Linked DNA regions of Rhinolophus ferrumequinum. The protein of the gene in region 1 interacts with the protein of each later gene in a pairwise test. Links are inferred from orthologs where the notes say so. Each region holds a gene or a part of one and is shown on either strand. Other genes may lie near its edges. The genes, in order: PIN1, DAB1, CNKSR1 and AMOT.

Region 1 (7,008 bases):
CATACTGTCTATGGCTGTTATATTACAAAGCAGAATTGACAGAGACTGTATGGCCCACAAAATCTAAAATATTTACCATCTGGCCTTTTAAGAAAAAGGTTACCAACTGCTGCTCTAGACTGTGGAGAAAACACAAAACAAAGCAAGGAACAGCCCCCTGTCTTGGGGCAGAATTAACTTATAACTGCTGGCTAGTTCTGTGCTGCTACTTTTCCAACCTCCCTCCCCCTCCCCCTTCTTCCAGACCCACCCACACATGTGCCACAGAAACCTGCTTGATGATATTATCATCAATAGCTCCGACTGACTGAGGGCCCACTGTGCTTCATGCACTGTCTCATCCCACTGAATTTTCACAACAGCCCTCAGAGGTGCCCATTTTATAGACAATATATGACGCTGCCCATTTTATAACAAAAACTGAGTCTCATGGAGGTGACTTGAATCCCCAAGGTCATGGAGGTTACAGGGCAACATAGCTACCCTCTTAACCTGGGTCTGCCAGGCTCCAAGGCTGGGTCCTACCGTCCCTAGTGGGAAGAGGTGGCCATCTGGGCCAGGCTCATGTCACATATAGGCATTTCTGTGTTGGCCAACGCCACACCTGACAGCTGAGCAAGTGGGATGGAGGGTCTGGTGTGATTTGTACAAGGCCCACTCTGGCCCCTGGAGGGGGAGAGGTACCAACCGCCCTGCCCCCCAGAGCCCATCTCCAGCCCTGCTCACTGTTGATCAGCTCCAGGGCCTCCTCCTTGGTCCGGGTAATCTTCTCCTGCCTCCAGGACGAAGGCCTCCGTGACTGGCTGTGCTTGACCAGCAGGTGTGAGCAGCGAACCCTCGTAGGTTCCCCCTGTCCATTTTTGCCACCGCCACTGCTGTTGCCACTTGGACGCTCCCACTGGCTGGCGTTAGTGATGTGATTGAAGTAGTACACCCGGCCTGAAGGGAGAGGAGGCAGGAATTCAGCTGGGACCTGCTCATAGGCCAGGATAAGGAACTGGTCTATGAGATGCCATCATTCAGCAAATCCACTGTGTCCACCACGTGCCACAAGCCCTTAGGGAGCTAACATTCTAGGTGCCGGCAAATGAGACAACAGGATAACTTCAGTCACTGATAACTTTGAATAACCCAGGGTGACAGTAGAGAGGAAGCCAGGGTGGGGGAGACGGAGTGGTTCAAAGCATGCACTCAGCAGCCAGACTGCCTGTTCAAATCTGCCTCTGCTACTTACTCACTGTATGATCTACCTTCCCCAGGCCTCGGTTTTCTCACCTGTAAAACGGACACAACAGCGCCTGCTTGTTGGGCCATTGTAAGGACTAAATGAGTTCTTATCTGTAAAGTGCTCAGGATAGCTCCTGGCACACATTAAGAGTGTGATAGCTATGATTATATTCCTTTTATAGATGACAAAACTAGGTATGTTTCCTGAGTGTTCAGTGGGCTCCAGGCACAACTGCGCCCAGGCGTGTCAGACACCAAAGCTCAGCTCTCTTCCCCTACAGCGTACTGTGCTGCACCAAGGGGCCAGCATTACTGGGGGCCAGACGTTAGGCAGGGACTGAGCAGCATGGAGCGAACACGGCACACAAGAAGCCTGAAGAGGGACCTAGGAGAGACGGGGTATCATTCCACAAAACCAGTTTGCCTGGGTTACATGGAGGACTTGTGCCCAGCACCGTGAAGGGTTGAATGTCACCCCTGAGGAGGGCTGTCAGGGTTGAGCAGAGCAGGAATGGCAGGAGTTGGGGCCCAGAGTTGGACAGTGCATCAGTTTTATGCTGCAGGCCATAGCCACAGGCCAGGGCTGAGGCAGGGTGGGAGAGAGCGGAACCCACGACGGCCTCTAAAACCTTGGCAGTGGGCTCTAGTTCTCCCAACCTCAGTGTTCTCAGCTGAAAAGTGGCAGTGAAGTGAGACAATCAGACTTTATGGGGTTGGTGCAAGTGGAGAGAAAATGATGATGTATGCAAAGTGCTCACCAGAGTGCCTGGCGTTCAATAAACCAGAATTATTACTGCGACTTTGACTGCTATGGGCAATGGAGGCAGTGGAATGAGAGCGGGGCCTGCTTCTCAGCAGTTTGCAGTGACAAGGGCAGGGGCCTCTGGAGACAAACTGGGTTCTAACCTCACACTCAGCCCCCACCCCCTGAAATGAATGACCTTGGGCGAGTTCCTTAAGTTTTCTGGCGTCAGTTTCCTCACCTGCAAGATAGGGGTAATGACTACCAACCTCCAGGAGATGTGGCCATTCAGTGACAGAAAACACTTAAAACGCCCGGCATAATGCTCGACGCTGATAAAAGTGCCCTGGTGTTGCCATTACTGTACATGTGCCTTAAATCGGGCCCCAGCACGGGGGCCGTCCTCGGGCAGAATTTCACCATAGGCTCAGCATTAGGTGTGGATGGCACGCGTGTTAGCAGTAGGTTGGGGATGTGAGGCCGGGCAACTCTAGGGCCACGCCCTGAGCATGGGTTTAGAGGGTCTCCTCCCCCAGGGGTGCCCCCGGGCCCAGCGGGGTGCACAGACGTTTCCCCGCGACGTCAGGTGCATTAGGCCGAAAAGTGTCAGCCCGGTCGGCAGGACCAAGACCATCCCTCGGAGGAGTGCCGTAGGATCACCGGCCCCTTCCCCCCGTTTCCCCCACAGGGCCCTAGGCTTTCCCGGTCCCATCCCCGCCTTAGTTTCCTTCGGTTTCCTGGCTCCTGAGGCTCAAAGCCTCCACAGGGCGGGCCGGGGCCGTTACCCTAGACGATTCGGAGGAGCCAAGATCCCATGGAAATCGGACAACTACACCGCGCCCAAGAGGCGAGCTCGAGCCCTGCTTCCACAGGCCCGCGCGGCCCCGCCCCAGCCCCGACCCCCGCTGCACCTGAGCTGCGGCTCATGCGCTTCTCCCAGCCGGGCGGTAGCTTCTCCTCATCCGCCATCTTCCCTCCTGCCGCAGCGCCCGCTCCGCCTCCGCCGCACCGCCTCTGCCGCCCGCCCACCGCCGCCACCGATTGGCTAGGCCTGCCTTGCACCAGGGCCTGGAGACGACGCTCACTGGGCACTCCAACTGTCCGGACTGGACTTCTGGCTTTCTATTGCACAGAAGCGACAGTGGGCGGATCCTCCCCACATTTACCTGGGTCCCGGTCCCCCCCTAGTCGGCCTCACCCGACCCCGCCCCCTTCCTCTCCTGGTCCTGTAAGTGGTGGGGAAGGGATATACTCCCGCCTTCTCAAAGCCCTTTGGCGAGCTTCAAAGAAGTCCCAACTCCTCCTTTGCGTCCTTCGCCACAGAGCCCATCCGATTGGCTACTGCAGCAGCAATTCTCGCCTTCCTCAGCCGTTTCCGGAGGGCCGCAGCCCCCTATACGGAAGTGTCTGGCTGGTGTGGAGGTAACGGTAGCTGACGAGGTACTTGGGAGAAGAGATGCTGGCTTTGCTGTTGCCACAGCAACGCAGTTGCCTTGGTGATGAGCAGCTAAGCACCAGAAGCCTAAATTTGGCTCTTCCATCCTCCCTCTTCCCATCTCTTTCCTCCAGATGTCCCAAGCTAACCCATCCCCTTTTATTTTTTTTGTGCAAGTCTAACCCTTTCCCTCTACCAATGACCCAAACACCTTCTACTTTCTTTGGAACCTACTTACATCACTTATTCCCTCCAAAGCTGTCTCTTGCCTCTATCCTGGTGACTGGTGGGTGATGGCATTGCCACTCAGAGAGGGACACAGAAGGGGGCAAGCGTGGGAGGATGAGTTCAGTTTGATTCTATTTAAAATGGAGTCTGTGGCACCCATGGGGCACTGAGGAGGTGGTGGGGGACCCAGGGCTGGAGATAGCTATGGAAGTCAAAGATTACCAACAGGGAAGAGTTCAATTACAGTTCATCTATAGCACTGACCCTCATATGACTTAGAAAGAATGAGGCGCAGTGACATAAAACACAGGGAAACATGTTCACGAGAAAGTAGAGACAGGATGCGGTAGAAGGCTAAGAGCACTCAGGAGACGGATTACTTGTTTGAAGCCTGGCTCTACCATTTACCATGACCTTGAACAAATTACTTAACCTCTGCTGTTCAGCTTTACCATCTGCAAAATGAGGATAAGAAATGAAATATATTTCATATATACCTTTGATGTAAAGATCAAATGAGTTAATTTATATAAAGCACTCAAACAGTGCCTGGCCTATACATAGCAAGAATGTGTTTGCTGGGCAAAAAAAAGCAAATCATAGTACAGCATAGCAATTGATAGTACATAGAAAAGCATAACAAAAACCAACAAATAAAATTGCTTTAAAAGAATGACATCGTTTATAGAAAGATATCAAAGATAAAAAGCAAGCTGCTGAACAGTATCAGTATGTAGAGTATGTATTATTAATTGAAAAGTGTAAAAACTATAGGTTTATATCATAGAGAATTTCTGGATTCATTCAAATACGATAATGGCTGCCACGTGATGCAGGTGAAGAAATGAGCAACTTAGATTTTAATATGATTTTCATTTTTTTTTACAAGCACATGTTAGCATAATCCTTTTTGAAAAATATGTTAGACTTAGTATAGAATATAGTTTCATATGCCCTTCACCCAGACTTCCCTTATATTAGCATTGTACATAGTAAAGGAACATGTTCTCAACCAGGGGTGGTTTCGTTCCCCAGGGAACATTTGGTAATGTCTTCAGACATTTTTGGTTGTCACAAGTCGGGGGAGAGAAATGCTACTGGCATGTAATGGGTAAAGGCCAAGGATGCTGTTAAACATCCTATAATGCACAGCCGCCACAACAAAGAATTATCCAGCCCCAAATGCCAACAGTGCCAAAGCTGAGAAACTCTGCCATAGAGTAATTATCAAAACTAAGAAATCAACTTTGGTATAATACTATTAACTAGACTTGCATCCACATTGTCATGTCTCCTTCGTCTCCTCCAGTATGTGACAGTTTTTAGGTTTTTCCTTGTCTTGCACGATCTTGATACTTTTGAAGAGTAGAACTGGCCTTCATTCTGATGTTTTGTCATGGTGGGGTTTGTCAGTATTTTCTCATGATTCGATTGAAGTTATTGGGAAGGGTACCCCAGAGTCGTCGTGCCCTTCTCAGTGCATCATACCAGGTGATCGACGGTGTTGCAGTGTATTCCTGGTTACATTAGGGTATCTATTGCTGCATAACAGATTACCCCACAATTTAGGGGAGTAACATTTTATTTTCTGTTTCTATGTGTCAGGAATCCAGGCAGTTTAGCTGGTGTCAGCAGGGGTAGCCGTGGTCTAATCTGAAGGTTTGACTGGGGCAGGATCTATTTCCAGGCTTGCTCATGTGGCTGCTGGCAGGATTCAGTTGCTAACAAGATGTACTGAGGACCACAGTTCCTCACTGGCTATTGGCTGGCGGCCTCTCCAAAACATGGCAGCTGGCTTTCATCAATGAGCAAGTGAGCAAGCAAGACAGAATCCAGTCTCTTTGCAACCTTATCTCCGAAGTGATAGTGCACCACTTTTGCCATGTCCTATTTCTTAGAAGCGAGGTCTAGCCTATACTCAAGAGGAAGGGATTACACAAGGGTGTGAATACCAGAATGGGGGGATCGTTAGGGGCCATCTTACAGGCTGCCTGCCACACTTGGCAATATTAACTTTGATCACTTGGTCTAGGCAGTTTCTAAAGTTACTATTGTAATGAATAAATACTTTTGAGGAGATACTTTGAGAGTGTGCAAATATCCTACTTCTGCTTAAACTTTTACCCACCGAGTTTAGCATTTATCAGTGCATCTTGCCTACAGCAATTATTACTATGGTATGCCAATGGTGGATGATTTCTTATTTCCTCTAATCGTCTACGTTTATTAATTGAAATCCTTTTGTAATGACGAGTTGCCCCTTCTCCATTTATTTATATATTCAGTTATTTATTGATATGATCATGGGCTCAAGGGTATTTATTCTTTGGGTTATAGTCCAATACTATCGTTATTTTGTTGCTCAAGTTGTTCCAAATTTGGTTACTGGGAGCTCTTTCATAGGCTGGCTTCTGTGCTCTTTCCATGTTTCCATCCTTTTAATTGAGCACTTCCTACTTCCTGACACCACAAGATGCTCCACGCTTAGCTTGTATTTTCCCTGCCCTGGCTCTTGAACCAATCACTTTTCCAAGAAGCCCTAGTTCCTTTTATTGGAGAATGTTATTTAAGAACCAGATATTAGCATAGACATCTTTTAAAAACCAAATTGAAGTTTATAAAAATACATTAGAAAAGGTCTGACCTCAGCAGAGAGAATCGGGTGAGGAAAGGGGTTTTACTTTTAGCATGTACTTTTCTAGGCTGATTTGAAATTAATAAGGGATTACCTTGTCAAGTCCCTCGTGTAGTTAAAAAAAAAATTGTTGGGTTTGTTTTTCTAACAGACAGTAAGGGGCGAGATTGAGCTGTAAATGCAGTAAGGGCCAGGGTACCAGGAAACAGACATGTCTGACATGTCAGGAGGAAGTGGAGTCCTAGGGACAGGAGGGAAGCCAACAGATAGGTAGGGAGGTGAGTAATGGGAGACCAAAGAGAGACCATTCTCAATGGGCTACAGGCCAGCAGCCCCCAGACAGCTGGCAGGTGCAGCTGCCAAGAAGCTTGGTGGTAGTAAGAAACAAATAAACAACAAAAAAAAGCTTGGTAGTGAAGGGAAGGCAGAAGGCTGGGGGGACTTTGGGGGAAGGGAAGGGTCAGTGGACTACACTCGACTGTGTTTGTGAACCGAGGACAGGGCAGGTCAATACAAGAGAGGGGAGAAGGGATGGAGCCAGGTTGTGGGTGAAGCTCTTGAGAACGGCTCCAGAATGCCGCTCTGGGAAAGGACAGGGCCAAGGTCAACCCCAGGGTCTGTGGCTAGGGGAACAGAGATGGAGTGTTTGGCGTCGTCTGCTCACACATGGGAGAAGGCTGGAGACACCTAATAGCACTATTTATCAGACATCGTGTTATTTTAACTGCATTATCTCACTGA
Region 2 (7,185 bases), on another chromosome or scaffold:
ATAAAAGGACTGTTATTTATAGTGACTGTAAACCAGAGTCAAGTTTAGTAATACTGCCAAACAACCTTTCCCTGGAATCAAGCAAGGCCAGTATCATAAAAGAAGGGATCTTCTGTTTTGATGAAGCCACATAGAAATTTTTTTTCATTGCTTTTTTGACCTCAGAAGAGAAATAGAAATTGGATAGTTTACTTGTTTCTACAGCAGAGAAGAAAAGTGTCTGAAATGTGGATAATGTAAGGTTTGCAAAATATTTTTCCTGCTTTTTTCAAAACTGGACCCCTTTATTTTCACACTAAATTCAAAAGTCTTGAACATGGCAAGCCAGACCCCTTCCTATTTGTTTATGCTGTTTTTCTAGAGTCAACTACAGTCTCATCCCCCAGAGAATAATTTCTTCTGTGCTTTTGCACATTCTCTTTTCTTTGCCTGAAATACCCTTCCCTTCTTCATCCGGTTACTCCTTATCTTTCAGGGTGATACAACTTCTTTTGTGAGGTCTTCTTAACATCCTACCCTGGGTTAAATACCCCTATTGGATGTGCCGCTAAAATCCTGTACTTAGCATTATCACGGATAGCACTGATCGCAGTGCAACATGATGACATGTTTCCTTCATGTGGCTATGGCTTGTTGGAGAGTAAGATTTTTGTTTTGCTTTTATCTTCTGCTCATGCCTGACATTATGTCTGGTATAGAGTAAGTGATCAGTAAATATTTTTTGAATAAGTGAATAGAATACAATCTGAGTTTGAACATGACTTTGAATGAAAGGGACTGTGAGAAACTTACACCTTTGGTATTAACCTTTGAAATTTTCTGTGTTCTATATGTTAGTATATTTTGAACACATGATGTCTCTAATAAGCTTTGTAAAAATGTTCCTTCTGAACATTAATTTTTTATTAATTTGAGAGCTTTATGTGTATAGAAATATTAGCATATTCCTGGCATATGCAAGCACTTAAACTATTTAATAAATGGTGGCTATATAATAATTTGTGTTTGAAACTCCCAGCGCTTACAGCACAAATTCATTTTATTATACTCCATCCAATGGAAGGTATATTTGAAACAAATGTAGGAATAAAGAGAATTTTAAATCATATAGAATACACAAAACAGGCTACTTTGCATTGCTTTCTTCGGATGAGTTATTGCCAGTGGGATTTAAGATTTCTGACATTTGGTTTTGCTTTCAGTGATGGGTCAGTTTCAAACAGCAGTTAAATAGGCAGCCCTTCTGAGTATCTTGAGAATCAAGTGCATAAGGATGAATTATGAGAATTCAATAAAACTCCTTTTGCCATCTGCATGCTATCCATGCCCATGTTTTTTATTCAGTTGACACTGAGCTTCTCAAAAGCAGGATCTGTTTCTGATTTATCATCATTATGTCCAATGCCTAGCACAGTGCCTGATGCATAGAATGGACTCCATAAATGTTGTTGTTGACTTAAAATTAACTAGTTTGGAATTCTGGAAAGAGAACCAATGCATAGTGTGTGACTTATTCTGTTCCCACCATGTCCAATGCATTATCTCATTTAAGGCTCACGGCAATCTCATGAAGTACGTGTCTCACGAAGTAGGTATCACCATTGTAGAATTTAGAAGTTCAGAGAGGTAAGTAACTTGTCAAAGTTGATGCAGGCCCATCAGCTTCCAGTCTGTATTCTATCCAGTACACACCATGAGAGTACCTCTCTCACTGGGTTAGCACGAAGGCTAAATGATTAAGATATGGAAAGGACCCAGAAGGGTGCCTGAAACATAATAAGCAATATATACATCTTTGCTGTACTCATTACTTTGTTGTTTCTCAGAGTAGATGGTAGAAGAAAGCATATGGATTTTTTTTCATATGCAAAACTTAATACAAATGGCCTTGTTATTTAAATGAGAAGAAAAAATACCGTAAATTTGAGATGACTTGTTATTTGACATGTTTAGCATAAGTTAAAATAGTACTACTTCAAAATTCGGCTTGGCTTAACCCAAAAGACTATTAGGTCCTTGGGCAGCTGTGTGCAGTTAGAATCTACATATTATGCTTTCTTCCAGCCTGGAGTTGAGAACAGCTGCAGCTTGTTGCCCCTGTTGGATTTAATGGGAATTTGCCCAGTTTCCATAGTGGACCATGTCCAGCACTGAATAGAAATAGAGTTTTACATGAGCCTTTTCCATTTCTATTACTCTTCCAACTCAGTGTTCCACACTCCCTTCAGTGTCTGTTATCATGATGTCAATTGAAAACAGAACAAGGTAGAAGAGGGATGATCGCAACAACTCTTACATGTGGGATATTAAAATGGATGTAAATGGTTTTTATGTTCCCTGGCTATCCACTGAAGCATGGAGAAACTTTGGATTTTTGTTTGTTTGTTTTTTTTGGTAGAGTCAATGAAAAGTTCGACCTCTGTTTGATAATCTAAAGTTTGACATTTGCCCCAGCCACCTGAAGTGCGTAATAGTTTTCTATACTCTTTCCTTTTATTTCAACCAAGTCTTCTTGATTGGTCTGTGTTCCCTGGTGTTTTTGTTTTTATTTCTGTTTTTTTTGTATTGAGTTCAGATTCCCGATGTCTGTCTTTACAGAGTAGGAACCTGAAGTCTTTTATTAATCTTATTAGAGTTGGCTGGAGAGCCTGAACTTCCTACTAAATGAATCTTAAGTGTTCAATAGTAACTCTTGCCACTCTCTAGAACATTGAAAAAGCCGGAGAGACTTGAGCCAGTTTTGTGGTCCCCACCATTAGATTTGCTGGTCATACCCAGGAGTCAGTAGAAACAGTTATATCAAGGGGGCACCTGCCTCCCACCTTGCTGGGAGTGTCCTCTGATCAACTATTTCCCCTAGATTGTATCCTGCCAATGACCTCACACGTTTTTCTTGTCTCTGTGTAAATTGCTATCTTTTCAGGAGGTGCATGACAGCCTCCATACACTGGGGCCTCCATTTGTACAGAAGCTGTTATTACGGAATAAGTTTAATGGGTCGTGAATTTTGTGGTGAAAAGGAGGGTCTCTCGATGACTTTGGATGTACAAGCCACAGACCTATTGGCTCCACAAGGATTGCATTAGGCTAAATATTTTTAGCCCATTGACTCTAGAGGTAATAACCCTAAATGCTTCATTAAATTTTCATGGGTGAGTGACAGAAGCTATAAGGGAAAAAAAACAAAACTCAAATCCACCACATTAGCTTTATTATTACACAGCTGGAGGACAGGAAGTGTGGCCCCTACAAAGGATAAAAATAAACTTTTTGAAGGACAGTTTCCTGACTCTTCCTTTTCCATGACCTGCTCCAATGGGTCAGCACTTGATCTGATTTGTTTCCTCCCACACCTGGCATTTTGCCCTCTGGAGGCCAATATACCACAACAAGCATTTACTGGAGTTGAATCCAGTCTCAGGATAGAAAAATTTCCAGACCGACACAATATTTTCTGCCACTTACTGAATTTTTGTAAACCAGGACCAGAAGTAGGAAGCTGGGGTATTCTCCCAAGCATGTTCTAATCTGAGACTCCTCCTCTCCTAGGAATTTTAAGAAAAGGAGTGGGGAGGCTGGGTAGGAAGGGGCGAGTTGGGGTTTACCTGGGGCCTGCATACTTTCAGTTGCCTGAGTCCCTGGACTGATGAAAACGTGACAGATGCAACCCTCTCCTCTATCAACTTTGCGTGGGAAGTTTCAGCGAAGACCAGAGCTGCCAAACCACATTTGGCCGCTGGGAGTTAGCGCCCCCTCCTGCGTGGGGGCTACATGTCCTTGCCGAACCTCAATTCTAGTTCTCACCCACTGGCGCTCTTTGTATTTGGGTGTGCCTATGTTTAGAGGTTTGGATAAAAGAGTAGCCCTAGATAAAAATGAGGGAGGCCGGGCGAGGGCTGCAGCTGGTGGTGGTGGTGGTCATGGTGGCGAAAACACTGGATACTTTCTGAAACCCGAGTCCGGTAGTTTTCTCTCCTTCTCTCCCCCACGCGCTCTCCGCTGGCACAGCCGGGGTTGGGTACCCTGTGCTCTCTGCTCCGCTCTCCCCCTCCACGCCGGGCTGGGGAGTGAGTGCAAGGGCCCCAGAGGCGCCACGGCGAACCGCGGCGCCCCCGCTCGCTCGCTGGCTCGCTCTTCCTCCTCCTCGTCGCCACCGCGACTCGGCTAAACCCTCGGAGCGCGCTCGGGCAGCGCAGAGAGCGCCGGGCGGGAGCGAGAGCAGGAGCCGCAAGGCTGGGACAAGGGGCGCGCGGCGGGCACCCCGGAGGCGGCGGCTGGGTTGCCAGCAGGTGAGCAGCGCCCACGGGCGCCCCGTGGGCGTGGGGCAGGAGGGGCTGGGGCTGCAGGAGGAGGCGGGTCTGCACACAGGGCGGTCTCCTCCCCCTGCTCTGACGCGGGGCCGTGGCTCTCGGGGAGGATGGACCCAGCTCCGTGATCGCCGGGGCTTCCCCGGGCTGGAGAGCGTGCCTGAGTGCTGCCGCCCGCCGGGCATGGGGAGCCGCTTCCCGCGCGGCTGCGGCAGCGGCGGAGGATGCTCGCGGCGAGCCGAGGTGAGGTGCGGCGGCGGCAGGAGTTCCGTGAGGACAGGAGTTCAGAGCGGGCAGTTGCCCGGTGGGCACAAGGCGCGGGGACACCCAGGGCACCCCTCTCAGGAGTTTGGTTAGGGGTACCGCGGGGACAGCGACTGCAGTTTTCCGCCCGCTCCCTCCAGTTGCTGGGGAAAGGGGCAACCTCTGAGCCTTCTTTCTGCGTCTCCACCATAACCCACAATCTCCCTACTTCTGACCACTCGCGGTCCCCTCTCCAGACCTCACCCCAAATACTTGTCTGTCTCCAGGACCCCTTGCAACCTCCTTCCTTCTACGCTCCAGTCTCTACCCAACCACGGACCTTCGTTCTCCCACTCCAAAAGCTACCCGGTTTTCTCGAGTCCTTCTCCCTGCTTCGCTGGCGGCGTCCCGGGGCTGGATCCTCTTTCTTACTCAGCCAAACCCAGTTTTCACTTCCCTACTCCTCTGCGCGCTGCGGTTCTGCCCCGACCTGTGGAAAAATCGGATGTATCCCAGGAACCCCTACGCTTTCGCAGACAGCAGTCAGAGCTAGAGCCCGCGTCGCCTCTGACTCCAGCCCTTCCCCGGGTCCTCCACCGGCCGGGCTCTCCATCGTTTTCCTCCCCTCCGTTCCACTCCCCAGGCGCCCTGCCACCCCAATAGGTTGCCTCCCCAACCCGCACCTCTTGCTTTTCTATGCTCTAGACTCCATGCTCTGCCTCGGATGCAGAGCTCAGGGTTTTCTTTCTTCTTCTTCTAATTCTTTTCTTTTTCTTTCTTTTTCCTACTGGGGAAACTTTAAATCCTCAAGATTTGGCTCTTAAGGAAGCCCTAAAAGGAGGACTCAGTCGCCAAGAAAACCTGGAGTCAGGGAGTCAGAGATGAGGGGAGTTTGTGTCGCGCCGTCGGAAAGGGGTTTTGGGATGAGCGTACAAAGTAAATTTCAAAACCGCTGTGGTTACTGTAGCCCGGACTCTCCTTCCCGTCTGCCTTCGTCCTGCAGAGTACCATTATGACCCCTGGTGGGAGGGCGCATCTTTTTTCTGCTCCTGTTAAAACGCCTTTGTGTGGGTGGTGGACCGGACGCGGGATGGTGCAGGGTTGGGAGGCGGAGGGCACCAGGGAAGGCTGCTGCCAGAGGCTGATGCCACTTCGCTCCTGCACAGCTCCCTCCCGACCCCGCCAGACTGTGTACGTTCTACTCCCTGTAAGCTCCCCGTCCACCCCCAACTGCATCACACAAGTCCTCATTGTTGGGGGTTCGCCTGGGCACTTCCGCCTGGGCTGGGAGAGTCTAAAGGAATGGGATGGGGGTGGGGAAGCCCGGGGCGCTTGGCGACAGCAGTCTGGCATTCGCTGGAGGCTTGGCGGTGGAGGAGGAGCTGAGAGCGCCGCGTCGCGGGCATCTGTGTGCTCCGGCGTGTGTCGGCGAGGGTGGGGTGCGTGCCCACGGAGGTGGGTGCCTGCGGGTGCGTTTGGATGCTGGCGCACGCCTGAGCTTAGCTCCTTTAGAAAGATGGGCGAGTGGAAAGCTTGCGGAAGCCAGCGGGCCTTTTGCTGCCCCGGAGCTGGGTGGGCCAGCGAGTCCTCCGAAATGGATGCTACAGTGCCGTCCTCTATAGCGAGTTGCCGGGACCGCAGGAGGATCCTCTGTCGCTTGTTCCTCCCTTCTGCTCCCCTCCTACTGGCCATTTCGAAGTACTTTCGCAATGTTGATGGTTTTGAATAAAGGCCTTGTGGGGGTTCCGCTGACACTTCATAATACTTAACATTTTTTCAAGTAATCATATGAAGGTAGCTTACATTCAGAACCCCCTGATTATTGGGTTCACGTTTGTACATTTATGTGCCAATGATAGGTCTTCAGGAAAGCCATAACGTGGTAAACCATCCCCACCCCCTGAATTAGCACCCATTGTTTTTATTATCTCAGTGGTGCGTGATTCTGGACGGAACCCAGAATTGCCCAGGCTTGAAGATAGATGTGCAGGAGGGGAGAGATTGCGTGACGAGGAGCGAGCTCCACCGCCCCTGCCCCAGCCCCTCCGGCTCTTTCACTTCCTATCCTGACAAGGCTTGGAGACAATTCTGGAATCTAAAAGGGATCAGAGATTTTCTTGATTTCCTATTGAGAAGGGCGACCTAATCAAAGCTGTATAAAAGTCAACTTCTAAGCAATCAGAAATTGCTGATGTCTTTGATTGAAACCCCAGCATTCAAATGGAGTTTTGAAGAACTCCCAGACATGGCTTTGGAAGTGCTATTGTTCTTTTCCATACACAGAGGCCCTCTCAAAGGTTTAGGAAGTTCAAAATGCAGTGATTTGAAAGACTGACCTTGTAACTATTTGGCAACTCGGAGAGGATCAGCAGGGATGAGAGAAGAGGCTGAGGTGGGAAGTGCAAACGTGTTGTTACTATCTTCTTGGGAACAGTGCCTATCAAGTGGGAATTCAGTCCTTCACATCAAGTTGGCAATTAAAGCTCTTCCCCAAACAGATTTAGAAGATGATTTTTAGTAGTTTTTCATTTCTTTCTTTCTTTCTTTTTTTTTTTTTTTGGTGGTTTGCTTAAGGTCTGAATAGGCATATCTGAAACATTTAATCATGTTCATTGTATTCAACAATAAAATCTGA
Region 3 (7,559 bases), on another chromosome or scaffold:
TGAGGAGGCCAAGGATAAGAAGGATCCCCTCACCAGTCACCCCAGCCCGGGCCTGAGAGGAGCCTGAGGTACCTGTTGAGCCAGAAGAGGAGGGTACGGGCGTCATGCACCAGATTCACAGCAGCGCTGAGGACCTCAGCAGGGGGCTCGGCACAGCCTCCCAGGCGGCCTTGGACTAAGCTCTGGAAAGCACAGGTCCCCTTCAGCAGCACCTCTGTCAGGCTCTGCAGGTTCTCTGTCTGTAGCCCGGAGCTCTGTGCCAGAGAGGGGGCAGGTCACTCCCTGGGAGCGGCCCGCCCATCAGCAACCTCCAGTGTGGCCACCATTCACTCACCAGGGCCTTGAGCTGTTCTACCCCTTCCAGAATGAGCTCCTGGTGGCCCAGAGGCCACACTGTCAGAGCCTCAAGGCTGCTGGGGCAGAGCTGGAGCAGGTATTTGCCAGGCAGCTCCCAGTCCTCAAAGCAATAGTCCTGCAGGGAGTCATCGAGGCCTGGAAGGACAGCAGGGGTCGGCATGAAGGGAGCCAGGGAGTGTCATAGCGTTTCTGGCCCCTTCTTCACTCCCGCAAAGCCCTTTTCCCTCCCATCTGTTCCTAATGACAACCCTGAGACCTAAACTGTGTTCTGCCCATTGACAGATGAGGGCACTGAGTTGAGAAGTAGAATAGTTTAGGGCAGTGGATCTCAAAAGGTGGTCCCGCGAGCAGCAGCAGCAGCAGCCTTACTGGAGAGCTAGTTAGAAATACAAATCCTTAGCCCCACCATATACTTCAGGGGTAGGGCCCAGCAGTCAACATTTTAATAAATCCTCCACGTGTTCTGATGCTCGTTTCTCTAAGAACTTCTGAATAGGGAGTCAGAGCATGGGGCTTTGGGGTCAGGGAGATCCAGCACTTAAGCAAATAACTTAATTGCTTTGTGCCTCAGTTTTCTGTAAAATGGGAATAAAAGCACCTACCTTCTAATCATGTGTGTATAAATGACATGATACATGTCAAACAGTTGGCCCATTTCCAGGTTCATGGTTGACAGTCAATAACAGCCACCATGTTATTATTGCCAGACTTTTTACTATGATCCACAAGGCCCGGTATGATCAGGCTGCCACCTGCCTCTCCAGTCTCATCTCTTGGCACAGCCCCTCCAACTCAACACTTCAGATCCAGAGCATGAATTCCCTGCAGCTCCTGGCATGTTCTTTTGCCTCAAGGTCGTTGCAGGTGCTATTCCTTCTGCCTGCACTGCTCTTCCAGCTCCTTTACTCCCTTTTTCATCTAACTCTCTCCAGGAAGTGTTCCACAACACCCCAGGCTGGGTAGGGGGCCTCTCCTCTTTTCACTGTCCCCTGTGCCTCCACAAACCTCTGCATTTGAACATCAACCTCTCCCAATTTATCAAGAGCTCTTCAAGGAAGGACCACACCTTAAATAACTGCTCATCTCTAATTCCAGCCCATGCCTGGCACAAGGTAGGCCCTCCAAAATAAGAAAAGTACCTAGTGAATGTGTGAAATTTTAAGGGCTTTAAACATATGCACACATTTGATCCTTACTGAATCTAGAAAGTAGAGACTATTGTTATCCCATTTCACAGATGGGAAAACTGATACAAATAGAGGTTAACCGTTAGCTTGCTCACTCTTTGAAGGAGTTCCAAGCCAGGTTTCATCACTGTGGAACCTGTGTGTGATCAACAGCTCTCTCTCATTCCCTGTGTGACATTTAGAGCACTGGACAGGCGTTCATGAACCTGTTACTTCATGGCTATGGCCCTCGAGAAACTTTTCCCATGTACAGTGAATGTTCTGTGCTGCCTTCTTCGGACCCCGACATTGAGTTAGACATCCTAGGCACTTGTCATGATTGTTTCATTTTGTCCACTTCATGACACCAGAGTTGCTAGTCTCATTTTATGGGTAGGGAAACTGAGACCTATGGTCACAGAGCTGGTGAATGAGGGAGCAGGGCCTGGAATCCTTTCTGGGAGTCTGAATCTAGCTCTGAATCTCTGCTTTTGTGGGGGCTGGTCACCCCGAGAGTGCCCCCAGTGTACTCCCACTGCCCCTGCACTCCGTCTCTCCCTCTAGGAGGAAGTCTTGACTCACCTCTCCCCTCCCACCTGCATGTCAGACGTCTTCTCTGAGTCTCTCCCGGCCAGCTGTCTAGACCTTTCCCACCCATCTGGGCTCACTGAACCTGGGGGGCATCTCCCCTGGAGGGCCCTACGGGGAGGGGGAAGGGTCTGTGTCAACCCCTTCAGTCTGGCTGAGGCTTCTGCTTCACACACTGGGAGACTGGGGGTGGGAAGAAGAGAAATAGGGCAGGCCCCATTACAAAGCCAGAGCAAATTACTTCCTGGCTCAGTGCGTCAGTTTCCGCTTCTGAAAAATGGGTTTAATAACAGCCCTCTACACCCTGGAGCGGAGGGAAGATTAAGGAGATAAAGTAGGCGTGGGACGCTCTGGGGCCGTCCCCTCTGTTTTCATTACACCCACCGCCTCCCCATCGCCACCCTGGCTGCCTCTTGGGGCGATGGGAGACCCTTTCTGGGTCCTCGGGGTCATCTCGTCTATCCTTCTGCCTAGCACAGTACCCGATTCATGGCAGACATTTATAAATACTTGTTGACAGACTAACCAACTGACAGCCTCAGCAGGTCCTTTTTCCTTCACCTCTTCCCGCCCCAGTGACCCTCAAGCCCAGTTCTGTCCCGGTCCCACCCACCTCTCAGCCATGCTGCCACCTTCCCGGGGGTCCAGGTCGCTACTGGCTCCATGGCCTAGTCCGCCCGCTGGGATTGACGCCCGCTCCGTCCCGCCGGCGCAGGAATTTCCGCTCCCAGAGCCCAGGGCTGGGGAGGGACCGGGCTGGGCCCTGGGCGGAGCGACCAGCATACCTGGGCTCACGTAGCTGACCAGGTGAGGCGCTGAGACAGCCATTGGCCTACGGCCTGCCTGCCTCCTGCCCCGCCCTTCAGGCATCTCCGAGCAGCTAGAAGGCTTGACCTGGGGGCGGTACCACTGGTGTGTGACCCACGTGACCTCAGAGCCGGCCTGGGATCCCGCCCCAAACTGGCCTCAAATCACAGGGCGGGACTTTGACCTTCAGGATCCTCAAAAAGGGGCTGAAAGGTGAGCAGTGAGCGCAGCAGCAAAGCACAGAGGTTAGGGAGCCAGAGCCCTGGGTGCAAAGGGTGCAAATCACAGCTCTACAGCTTGCTAGCTGTGGGACTGGGCGCTAACCTACCCATCGTGCATCAGTTTCCCTGTCTGTAAAATGGGCTGCTGGAAAGAATACCGGAGTTAATAGCTCAAAACCTTTAGAACAGGGATTTTTAGCCCCTCTTTTTTTGTATCATGGACGCTTTTGGCAGTCTGGTGAAACCTCTGGGCCGTTTCTTAGAATAATGCTTTTAAATTTTTAAAACAAAGTGCTGAAGATTGCATGGAGGATAATTAGTATAAAGATGTTAAAAATACAAAGCTATGATATAGTAGTATGTTTATTAGCATTAAGTAACAAGACTGGCAGGTTAGTTATATATTTTTAACAACATCAGTATGCTGTCACTCAGCTAGAAGAACACTAAAACTGAGGGGTGGTCTTTGATTCACCTTCTGGAATGTATTGATCAGGAAACGACTAAAGAGAGAATGCAGGGGAGTAGTGGAGGAGCCTGGATTACTGGTGTGAGAACAGGTGGAATCACCATTTGGTCAGAGACCCTCTACTGGGCACAGAGGTGCCAAATCAATGGCAACTATATTGCAGGAGTGTCTAAAACAGTGCGATTTAACAGTGGGTTAATAACTCATGATTTTGCAATAGTTATGAGCATAAACAGTATTTTGAGATATTTGCAATAATTACAATTTAATATAAAAATATCTGTGATTTCTATTGGGGACAAAGCCACAGAACTGCTAATACTTCAATACATATGGAATGGCAAATTTTGAGTATAAAAGTTAGTGAAAAAATACATATTTTTCCCATCCAAGTTTATGGGCCCCCTGAATGCTGAAGCCCAGGTTAAGAGCCTTCCTCTTTGAACGTCTGAAACATAGTTTGCAGTTAGCAGCAGCAGCAGCTGCCCCAGCTAGGGGACTCCCAGGACTTTGGAATTAGAATCAGTTCCACTTGCTGTGTGACGAGCCTGAGCCCTACCCCTCTCTGAACCTGTTTCTTCCTCTCTAAAGGAGGACACCTAGACCTTAGTGCTATGAGGAGGTCCTTTAAGTATCCTGAAATATGTAACATGGGGTAGAGCTGAGTTATTGCTTTAATTCTATGGAGAGGGCCCTGTGTCACCTAGTTTGAAATCTTTACCAGTGCCCCAAAACCTGGTCTCCAAAGCCTGTCACTATTTTGTCTGTAACCAAGACCTAAAGTCTGAATTTGGCCCACAGATGCCCAAGTATTGTGTGTATGTTAGTTGTCATTTAATAATTTCACATACAAATTGAGCTTTCTGGAACTTGGCCAGCTCTGCTGACCCCGTCGCACCTTCACACGTGGCATCAAACACAAGTGCAGATCAGCGGCTGCTTCCTTCAAAGGGAACTCCAGCTCACCAGGTCCCTGCAGGCCTGGCTCCTTCATTTGTGAACCATCAGGCTCCAGATTTGCAACATGGCCCTCACCTCTCTGGCTTCATCCTTTGCCTCATATCCTCATACCCTGCACTGTGTGTGTCCTCTCCAACCCTCCTCCATGCTGAGTCCCTCTGTAATGTTTTTGCCTTTTTCTTCCTTCAACAGTGTCCCTGTGCCAGTCTGGGAAAACCCACTACACCAGGGGTGTCCCAACTTTTTTCAACGTTTTTCACCAAGGGCCATATGCAGTAAAATACACAAACAGCCGGGCCACTCACTCGAGGTGAAGTACGTATTGCCTCGCCTGGTTTATTTAAGTAAACTAAATATATTTTTCGAATTTGCTGCGGGCCAATAAAAAATGGATTGTGGGCCGCAGTTGGCCCGCGGGCCGCAGTTTGGACACCCCTGCACTACACAGACGTGTCTCCACCATCCTGATGTCATCAAACACCTACTCTGAGCTGGCACAAGATATAGAGGTAAGAAGCCAGCCAGCCTCTGCCTTCCCTGGACTCACAATCCTGTAGGGGAACAGACAAAAACTAGCCACTTGTACTCATGTACTCCCCTAGAAGCACTGGGGGCCTAACAACCATAAGAGTGTCTTTACTCTGTATTCCCAGCATCTAGAACTAGGCAGTTAGGGGCACAGTAAATGGCAGCTTCTTTTTTGAAGGTAGTTTTATGAGTTTACAAAAGTGTTTTCTACATACTTGCTGTAAAAATTTCAAAGGTCATTACATAACAGTAGGCTATTAAGTGAAACGAGGACGTGTCCTTTTCCCAGCATGTTCTTATCCCGTTCCTCAGTGGGAGCCACTATTAAGTTTTCTGGGTGTTCTTCCATTCTCTCTATATTCAGATACTCTACATACTATTCTGCATACTAGGCCTTTCTTTTCATTTCATGAGACAATCAATGCCAAATGAAATAATGTAATACACATAAAGTATTTAGAATAGAGCTCAGCACAGTCAGCTACTATTTTTTTTAGCACATTATAGACAGCTTCCTTAAACAGTATAGGCAAATCTTTTATTATCCCCAAGCTGAGGGTAGGAAAGTCCCTGCAGGAACTCGATCTTGGGGAAAAGGGTGATGATATGTGTCCTCTCCATAGGTAGGGGTGGTTAATCTATCCAAAACCAAGTGAAAAGGCATACAGCTGTTTGGAAGAAGGGGATCGGGTTAAGGTACCCTCCCTGTCCTTTGCTGCGAGCTGATTGGTGACATCCAATCATCAGAGGAAGGGATAGGGCTGGGACCAGGGCTGCAGAAGCCCTCCCAGTACCTGATCCAGGCCTGAGACTCCTGAGCCCTGCCAGGCAAGGCTTCCCTCGCCTACCCAGCCTGGCCGACTGGGTAGGTGGGGGAGGTGCTGCTCAGGCCTGATGCTGATCTCTCCTGACAGCTGCTCCAAAGGCTGGCAGGGCAGGCAGGTGGGGGAAGGGACCAGATTTAAAGGTCTAGCTGCCCTGTCCCTTGCCAGACGTGAGGCAGACACTGGTGAGCATCTTCTGAGGGCATGGCGCTCATGCATATGAGAGGTCAGAAACCTCTATGCCCTGATTTTCACTTCTTGGTACTATGAACACCACTGGTCCTCATTCCTGCTTCCACTCCACAGGATGCTAGGGAGACTAGTGGCACCCAGCATGCGATTTCGACACCTGACCCCTGGCTACTTCCGGGTGCTACAGGTAAGTACCCCTAACCAATGGCTTTTGATACCGACCCCTTTCTCCCCCTACCATGGCTAGGTTGTCGCCTCCAACAGCCAAGCCAGGCTGTCACGTTCCCTGCTGCCTGAGCAGCCAGAGCCCAGATGGGCAGTGAAGCGAAAGGAATTGGAGTGGAATCTCCCTAGGGCAGCAATGACAGCCACACCTCCTTCACCCAGCTGTACCTTCTGAGCCCTTTCCCACCCCCACCCCCCAACCTTCCTTGAAGTCTCAACTGACCCCTCAGGTGGACCCTCTGTACATTCACAGATGCAGGTAGCTGGGGAACTGAAGGCAGAGCCCAGGAATCCACTGCCTGGGATTGCGGCTACACTGCTGGCTGTCCTCGGGCTGGGTGGCTCCTGCTATGCTGTCTGGAAGATGGTGGAGCAACAGCCGCCACCACAGGCCCCATGATGAAGTGGGCAGCCTCTCACTTGGGCCCTTGGGGGTAGGTAACTCATCAGGGGCTGGAATCTTGGGACTGTCTTCATTGGAAGCAGGACAGTATAAACCAGATCCTACTCCCCACTCCTCCCCACTGCACCTGGGCTCCACCTGGGGGCTCCAGCTCGGATGTCAGGACCCCTGTGGGAAGGCAAGTTTTCAAAGCTGGACCAAGTGGGAAAGAGACACCGTGGGCCCTGTCACAAGAGTAGCAGAGAAACCCTTACAGGGCAGGAGTTTGGGATGGGGGTTGCCTGGAAGTTAGGGAGTCAGAAGCAAGCCCTCTTTATCCAGTTCCTTTATTCAAGGGGGAAGGCACTCAGAAGAGGCCATCCACTCCCCAAACCCAGGGCCAAAAGAGGTTGGCACAGACTCTCCCAGCCTAGCCCTGCATCACTGTCCATGGGCAGCTCCTCTGCCTTGCATCCTCAGGCCGTGTCAGGTAGATGTGTCCATCTCAGGGACCTCAGTGGATACTTCTGTGGGCACTGCCAGCCGCTGGGGGGGCACATAGGAACCCATACCTGCTGCCCTCTCGGCCTCTTCCTGACTGTAGGGCTCCACGCCCAGCTGCTTTAGCCTGGGTGAAAGAAAAGGAGTTGTGAGCTGACCAGATGCGAGCCCTGTCCGCCTGGCACCCATCTATCAATCATCTCCTTATTTCTTCATACCTTTTCTTGTGGTCTTTGGATCGGAAGTGGGTCTTCAGGTTGGCAGAATCGATGAAGTACCTCCTGTAGCGATGGGGGGTTGGAGGAGAGGGAGGAGATGATTGATGCCTCTCAGTTACGT
Region 4 (7,113 bases), on another chromosome or scaffold:
CACGTGTCCCTTTGTTCCTTTCCCATTCAGATAAAGCTGCTATTTTCTGATGAGCTCATTTCTGCATGAGAAGGGCTAGTATCTTTGTGAATAAATAGACTGACTTTAGGAGGTGTCCCATGAAAGGCTGCTTTTCAGTGTTTGTCTGATATATTTGTCGGGTGTTTTTTGGGGGAGGGAAGGAGAGAGTTATGTGGAACCATAAATCCTTAGGATTTATTTTCCCTAATGTATGTGCTTTTGTTTCTAAATGCATTTAAATGATTTAGTTGTTCACCAGGCAATTAGAGGAAGATGTGCTCATTTCACACTTGCAGTTGGCTTGGTGGGTGGGGGAGAAAGTAATTCAATAGAAAGCACTATGGTTTTATGGTCTTTTCTTCTAGAAGAATTTAGCCAGGGATTGAGGAATAGACTGTAAGCCGCATCCTCCTTCTTAACTTTTCCTGTACATTGAGCAAAAATATTGCATGCAAAGGGCAGACTTTTTAAAGATTTTTTTAGTTGCCAAAATTAGGAACCAGGAGATTTTCCATTAAAATATTTGATTTCTGGTCTGGTTTCTCTTGAAAAATCGAAGTCCTGGCCACATTGGGCCTGCATTTCCCACGGTGCTGACCATGGGAAAGCTACCCCTTTACATGGGTCCTGCCTTCTTGGCAGCCTACATCTTGGTCTTATCACCTGACACCGAGCCTGAGGATTTTTACCATTAATTTTTTTATTGTTGTAAAATATACATAACATAAAATTTATTTACCATTTTAAGTGTACAATTCAGTGGCATGAAGTACATTCAAAATGTTATACAACCATCACCACTATTTCTAGAAATTTTTCATCATATCAAACAGAAACTGTGCTCATTAAACAGTAACTCCCCATTCCTCCCAGTCCTCAGGCCTGATAGCCCCTATGTTACTTTCTGTCTCTATGAATTTGCCTATTCTAAGTATCTCAGATAAGTACAATCATACAATATTTGTCCTTTTGTGTCTGGCTTCTTAGCATAATGTTTTTAAGGGAGACATTGATTTTTTCATTGACTTATTTTAGAGCATAGACATTGATTTTTACTGCATGTTAAAGGAGGAGTTACATTTCATTGAAAACAAGGCCAACAGGACAGATCATTTGGGATGGAGACTTGACTTCTAAGCTTAAAATGATCATTATATCCATTATTGATAAGTGGAGGTTCTCAATGTACTTAAACAACCCAGTGTCTTTATACAGGTGTTTTATAGTTGCTGGTTAATTCTGGTATCCCCCAGAGGCTTCTCCATATCTTATTGTCAGGATATGAGGACATGGGGATGCTCTGGGGGTTAGTTAAATGTGTGTGGCATACTTTGCTGCATAAACTCACTCTGGAACTAGCACTTAGCATATGCTTGTTAGTTGTCTTTTTCTGTATATACCCTTGAAGGTAGGAGCCAAGTCTCATCCCTCTGTTTTTTCATTCTTGTCCACAATAGCAACTCTATCGATGTTTGTTGATGTTGGCCTCCCCTCCCCCTTCCTTTTAAGTAGGGCTGGTAAAGCATAGCTTTAAATTCAAACTCAGTTTAAACAAACCAAAGAGTTTTCAGGGTAGAAACAAAATGAACTCTTGCTAGGCAGGAAATAAGGAATACCTAAGCTTAGAGATCTGGGCAAAGCACAGGTACGAAAAAACCTGTTGTTTGCCACAGGCTAAGAAGTGAATCACACACGTGATCGACCATCAATTTCAGAGCTGTGCTCATTCTACTCCACCAAAACTTAAATTTGGAGAAGAATAATATCCAAGGCAGAATTTGAGGAGGGGGAATTAAGTGTTTTAAGGGTTTCCATTGTATGAAAGTCCCCCATAGCTGTGGGGAAGTGTAGTTGGAAAAGTCTTTTGATTGCAACTTCAAGGTTAGGGGCAGGCATCCTAGAGACACAGCCTCCAGGCCTTTGTACTAGGATTTGTTTGCCAGTATTTTCTGTGATGGCAAAAGATGGAAAATGGCCAAAATCACCTCAAAAGGGGAATGGGTAAAATAATTTTTGCACATCTGTGTAATGGAACACTGAGCTATCACGACAAAGAATAAGGTAAAGGAAGTTATCCTGAGATGGATGGATATTTAAGAGACATAATATATTTTGAAGATTACACACAGGCATAGAGAGAAAGGGAGAAAGGGACTATGAGAATGGAGTGATGGAGAGGAACTCTGTATTCCTTTCAGTACTGTTTTAATTTAACCCTGTTCATATTTTACTCTTTCCATTTTAATAGCGTTGTTAACAAGTATCCTGTTGCCATTGTGATCAACAGTAGTCTGTAGCATATACTCATCCTATCTAACTCCGCTGTCCACCTCCTCACTCCAAATAGCAAGGCAGGAATAATCTTCCCTTGATTCACAAACCAGGTGTCTCCATGTCTTTAACGCTCACAATCTCACCTTCTCCATGAAAACTCACCGGAATAACTTCACCTCACACATATATAGAATTATACCAAGAATCCATTTTGTCCATGCTCCGGCTTCTGAATCTTTCAGCAGCCCTAGTAGAGTGCTCTACACACTGAGGCTACCCTACAATATGGCACCTACTCACCACTTTTCCTGTGTGTTTGTGTGTGTGTGTGTGTGTGTGTGTGTGTGTGTTTATATTCTGAGACCCTGTTCACTGTGAGATAGTGTTCCCTTTGAGCACACTTTTCTTGCATGCCTTGATCCATGGCCCCTCAGAAAGCTCCCATTAGGCAGGCTTGAATTGGATGTCACTTTTTTTATTGGCATGAGTTCATTACAATAGCTCTGTGTTGTCAAGGCCTTTATATTTAGACTTGCTTCCTCCTTCTAATGTTTTCTAGGAAATATGGATCTGTAGAGAATGGTGGTTTCCATGGTAAATGTTCCCTCATATTTGTTTTCTCAAGTTCACTTCAGATATACACAGCATGATTTACTTTTTCAGTACCAGTACCGTTGTGGCGCCACTGCAGAACTGTTTAAAAAAGTAATCTCACCCACCCTGGTTAGAAAAGGGGTAATTTTTTATTCTAACTGCAGGGAGCCAACTTCATATCCACCCCCAAAACTGTAGGAAAAGAGTTGACTTACTAAAATACAGCCACAAAACCTACACACCTTGGATGTAAATGATTAAAACAGATGAGCAGAATATTTGATTCTCAGACACATGTGAGTCTCTCCAGGGCATAGTATACACAAGTAGGAACACATACATACATACATACATACATACATACATACATGTGGGCGTGGTTTGTGATTTATACAGTTTTCACACACAATTCATTTTATTTTTATATACAAGTGCAATTAAGTAATAGGGTATGTTTTATAGCTTTTTAGATAAGCAAATTAAGGCTCAGGGATGTTAAGCGACCTCACAAAAGTCACACAGCTCCCTGGTAAGTGCTAAAGCCTGATATGAGTTCTTCCTTTAGCTCCAAATTCCATGTTATTCTGCCACCCTTAGACTGTTTCTCTGTGCTTTCATTGCCCAGATGTAAAATGGAAGATTTTCAGTGTACCAGGATGCTGTTCTCAACTCTCTGTGTTCTTAAGCAACATCAATTTTTCACCAACGGAAAATGTGAACACCTCATTGACACTTCACGTACTTTTCCCTCTCCTGGACTAATTAATTAAAGGGGAAGAAAAGTTACCTATCCCCAGAGGACCTGACAGTGCCATAAAGGTGTGCCGGAGACTGCTGACACATTGTCGCACTCTCTTAGGAGACTGAGAAGCTAACCGTCTCAGCTTTCTCTTCTCAGCAGTGGCTGGGGAGAACAGAGAGCAAGACAATAGCCTCTTGTTTAGTTTTATTAATTTTGAGGGCGGGTGGGATCGGATCGACAGCGCAAGTCACCAATCGTAAGCGAATCCTAGGCCGGGATTAGCCAACCCATAGTTGCAAACGAACAGTGGATGGGATTTACCCTTTCTGGGCCCACTCCGCAGGGGCCGGCCCTCCCAGCCTGCCCAGGGGCGGAGGCTGCGCACAGCCCCGCCCACGCCAGCCCCGCTGCCAGCGCGGCCCGCCACCAGGGGTAGGGGCTTGCGATGTGAGTGTGGTGGAAGGAAGCGGGAGTCTAGGGAGAGCGGAGGAAGAAAGGAGGATGTCTTGCAGAGCTGCGACCTGGGTGAGGGCCTACTGGTAATAGGAAGCAAGAAGGGAAGGAACATGAAGAAGCGTTGCTCCTTCCTGCATTATTTTAAGCAGGCTTTGCAAAAAGCTGCTTTTCAGCATTTCTATTATTTGTTTTTCTTCCTCCTGCTGTGGGGCTGGGAGCTTCACTGGCCCTCCCACGCGACTCTGCTCCGCTGTTGCCGTAGATTATTATTGTAGTCTTTGTAAAACCCTTCCCTTCCTCCCAGCCAGTCCTTGCGTCGATTCTCAGGGCTACTGTAACCGATTTGTGCCATGTTAGTGGGAGGACCAGAGCGAGAACCCCCCCGCCTTTGCCCGAGCGGTAAGACCCGCCATTCAATTGTTTGAAACTTCCCCGCCCTCTAGCCCCACCTCTCTTCCGCCCTCTCCTTCCAGGCTCCAGGCAGGCCCCCTCCCTTCTTTCCCCGCTCTCTACTCCGCCCCCTCCCTAGTCCACTCCCGGCTCCTGGGCGGTCCTAGCGGCTCATCGCAAGAAGAAAAGCCACCCATTCGCCCCCCTCCCCTACCTCTCATCCTTTTCCCAGGAGCTGCCCTCATCGCAGTCACGCCCCTTCCTTCCGAGGAGCTTTCTGACTGCCCAAGCTGGTAGACCCCTGATTTATTTCTCCATCTCCTCTCTCTTTGGCTTTATCTTCTGTTAGTTCTCACCACCCCCTCCACCCCCACCTCCAGTCTGTCTCGTCTCCGACTATCCGCTGCTCCACCCTTTGGCCCGGTATCCTGCCTATCCACTGCCACCAAGGAGATCCCGGAGGGAACAGCGAAGAGGAAGCACCCAGGAATTGGGGCTTTCCCCCTGCCCATCTCTGGCCTCTGGCCTGGGACCGAAGCCACTTGAGCGAGTAGAGACTCGTCACCTTGTCTTCGTTGCCTTCAGGGGTAGGAGACGCGTGGTTACTTTTCGCGGGGTAACTGGGGCAGGAATCCATGGTGGCATGAACTTGATCATGCCCTCGGCATAAGTGAGTCGATCTACATGCGTGCGGGTATGCCCGTGTGTTCTGCTTTCTTTGCAGTTGGCCATGAGTTTTTCGAGATGTGCAGCAAGTTAAATCGGTTAAAAAGTGCGTGCTTCTTTCCCGTCGGAGATGCTACTGGGTACCACAACTTGATGTTACTTTTACTTACTTGCCTCCCGGGGTCTTAGTAGGTCTCTAGGTAATTAAGTACAAAAGAAATTAAAGACCTGAGGGAACTCGAGATCTACATTTAGCTCAAGGAGAAAGTCCATGCTTATCTCAGATTGCTAGATGTGTTCCTCCTAAATTCTTAGGGTTGGGGTGGGGACCTTGAATTCTTGAAGTCTTAAAGTCTGGGAGTAATCTACAACGAACGCTACACTTTTTTGGTGAGTGTGTGTGTGTGTGTGTGGTGTGTTGAAGAGGAGGCTGCCCCTTATCTGCTTTACATGTTAGTGACTAGTTTTGTGGGATCATGCAGGTATGTCTTGAGGGTCTTAAACCTGTGTCATTGTTGGTGCTTCAACAGCAAGATGGACTTACAGATATATGAAGATATATATTGATATATTTTCGATAGGATAAGTGAGAGGGGAAGTGGCAGTCTTTGTAGACTGTGAGCAGTCCCTGGTAAATTGCCACTAATAATTAATAATAATTTGCAGCAAGGGACTAAATAGAATCAAATGAGATAGGTAAGGGAAAGTTTGTGTGAAACAGCATTTCTAATCTCTAGCATGTACTTTAGAAAGAATTTTCCAACACCTTGGAGTGTCTAATTTAGTTCTCCTTCCTCCTCCCTTCCCTTCCACCCCCACCACAAGAAGAATGGAAGTTGGGAGGCAGTTTATTTTGTTTTAATATAACCCTCTTCTCCCATTCAGAGAGGAAGATAATTGCCTTGTTTCCCCAAAAATAAGACCAGGTCTTGTATTAAGATTTGCTCCAAAAGACGCATTAGGGCTTATGTTCAGGGGATGTCATCCTGAAAAATCATGCTGGGCATATTTTCCGGTTAGATCTTTTTTTCAGGGAAGCACGGTAGTCACCATAATCTTTAATAATGGAGGGCTAAGGTTGTTTAAGTCTCCTTGAACCAGACTTTGTGCAAAGTCCTTTCTCAGGCCAGCCTTTGTGAAGCCTTCTCAGTTAGACCTTCCAGAACCCTCATTTAGTAGCTAAGAATAGTGTAAGATACCATTTGGATCTTACACTATTTGGATGCAGGGTAAATTTTCACCCATGTGCCACCTATCTCCAATTGGGCAAGCATGGCAAACTTAGAAGAATGGTGGTATTCAAAGACCTATTACCAAGATGTCCCCAACCCATTGCTTATTTGGCAAGAAATTATTGACATATTTTTAAATAATTTCACTGGTTGATTTTGATGGGGGGAAAGGAAAGCAGGAAGGGAAAGGGGACGTTACAGGTTACAGGGCAACAATTTTAAAGGCTATCTATCGTGTTTCAGATCAACTGGGAGGGAAAAGTTGGCCTGACCAAAACTACATTTTATAAATGGCCTGGGACATTTTAATAGCCAGGTGGTTGTAGAGTAGTTGCATCTATTTAGAGATGATAACACTCAGGTTCTAGCTATTCTGTATGGGCTTATCCGGTGTCATTTACAGACACTTTCTGGCACTACATCCTACTTCGTTTTAAGATACTTCTTTCTTTGGAAAGGTCTGGCTATGTAAAATTGAAAGTGCTTTTCCTAACTTCATAGTCTAGATATGAAGTAAACCTCTGACCAGGCTTGTATATCGCGTAACTTTTCTGTGAAAGTTGTGGATCTCTTTACCTATTTAAAAGATTTTAGAAGGGAATTTAAAAACTCATATTCAATATACTCTTTTGTATTTGGAAATTAAAATCTTATTTCTGGTTTGTGAAGTAGGATTCATTTTGTGGAATTGCTTTATCTGTAGTTTTATAAAGAATCAATCAGACTCTAGAATTCCTT

Evidence for each region.
Region 2: the proteins of PIN1 (region 1) and DAB1 interact in binary tests that used the Homo sapiens proteins (3 or more experiments, as listed by UniProt). The two-hybrid records come from large-scale screens. The link is inferred for Rhinolophus ferrumequinum from reciprocal best matches to the Homo sapiens genes PIN1 and DAB1.
Region 3: the proteins of PIN1 (region 1) and CNKSR1 interact in binary tests that used the Homo sapiens proteins (3 or more experiments, as listed by UniProt). The two-hybrid records come from large-scale screens. The link is inferred for Rhinolophus ferrumequinum from reciprocal best matches to the Homo sapiens genes PIN1 and CNKSR1.
Region 4: the proteins of PIN1 (region 1) and AMOT interact in binary tests that used the Homo sapiens proteins (3 or more experiments, as listed by UniProt). The two-hybrid records come from large-scale screens. The link is inferred for Rhinolophus ferrumequinum from reciprocal best matches to the Homo sapiens genes PIN1 and AMOT.

Annotation. Positions count from the first base shown.
Region 1 is NC_046301.1:40,249,495-40,256,502, forward strand, and holds the start of PIN1 (peptidyl-prolyl cis-trans isomerase NIMA-interacting 1), read right to left. Parts: upstream 3,024-7,008; 5' UTR 2,939-3,023; coding exon 2,881-2,938; intron 940-2,880; coding exon 727-939; intron 1-726. UniProt on the Homo sapiens protein: Peptidyl-prolyl cis/trans isomerase (PPIase) that binds to and isomerizes specific phosphorylated Ser/Thr-Pro (pSer/Thr-Pro) motifs.
Region 2 is NC_046292.1:41,418,858-41,426,042, reverse strand, and holds the start of DAB1 (disabled homolog 1), read left to right. Parts: upstream 1-4,180; 5' UTR 4,181-4,289; intron 4,290-4,437; exon of another isoform or gene 4,438-4,550; intron 4,551-7,185. UniProt on the Homo sapiens protein: Signaling adapter of the reelin-mediated signaling pathway, which regulates the migration and differentiation of postmitotic neurons during brain development.
Region 3 is NC_046292.1:17,924,273-17,931,831, reverse strand, and holds the start of CNKSR1 (connector enhancer of kinase suppressor of ras 1), read right to left. Parts: upstream 3,003-7,559; 5' UTR 2,982-3,002; coding exon 2,897-2,981; intron 2,852-2,896; exon of another isoform or gene 2,777-2,851; coding exon of another isoform or gene 2,725-2,776; intron 493-2,724; coding exon 335-492; intron 255-334; coding exon 73-254; intron 1-72. Other genes in the region: ZNF593 (zinc finger protein 593), read right to left, coding at 7,206-7,347, 7,439-7,501. UniProt on the Homo sapiens protein: May function as an adapter protein or regulator of Ras signaling pathways.
Region 4 is NC_046284.1:41,286,947-41,294,059, forward strand, and holds the start of AMOT (angiomotin), read left to right. Parts: upstream 1-4,096; 5' UTR 4,097-4,156; intron 4,157-4,645; exon of another isoform or gene 4,646-5,064; intron 5,065-7,113.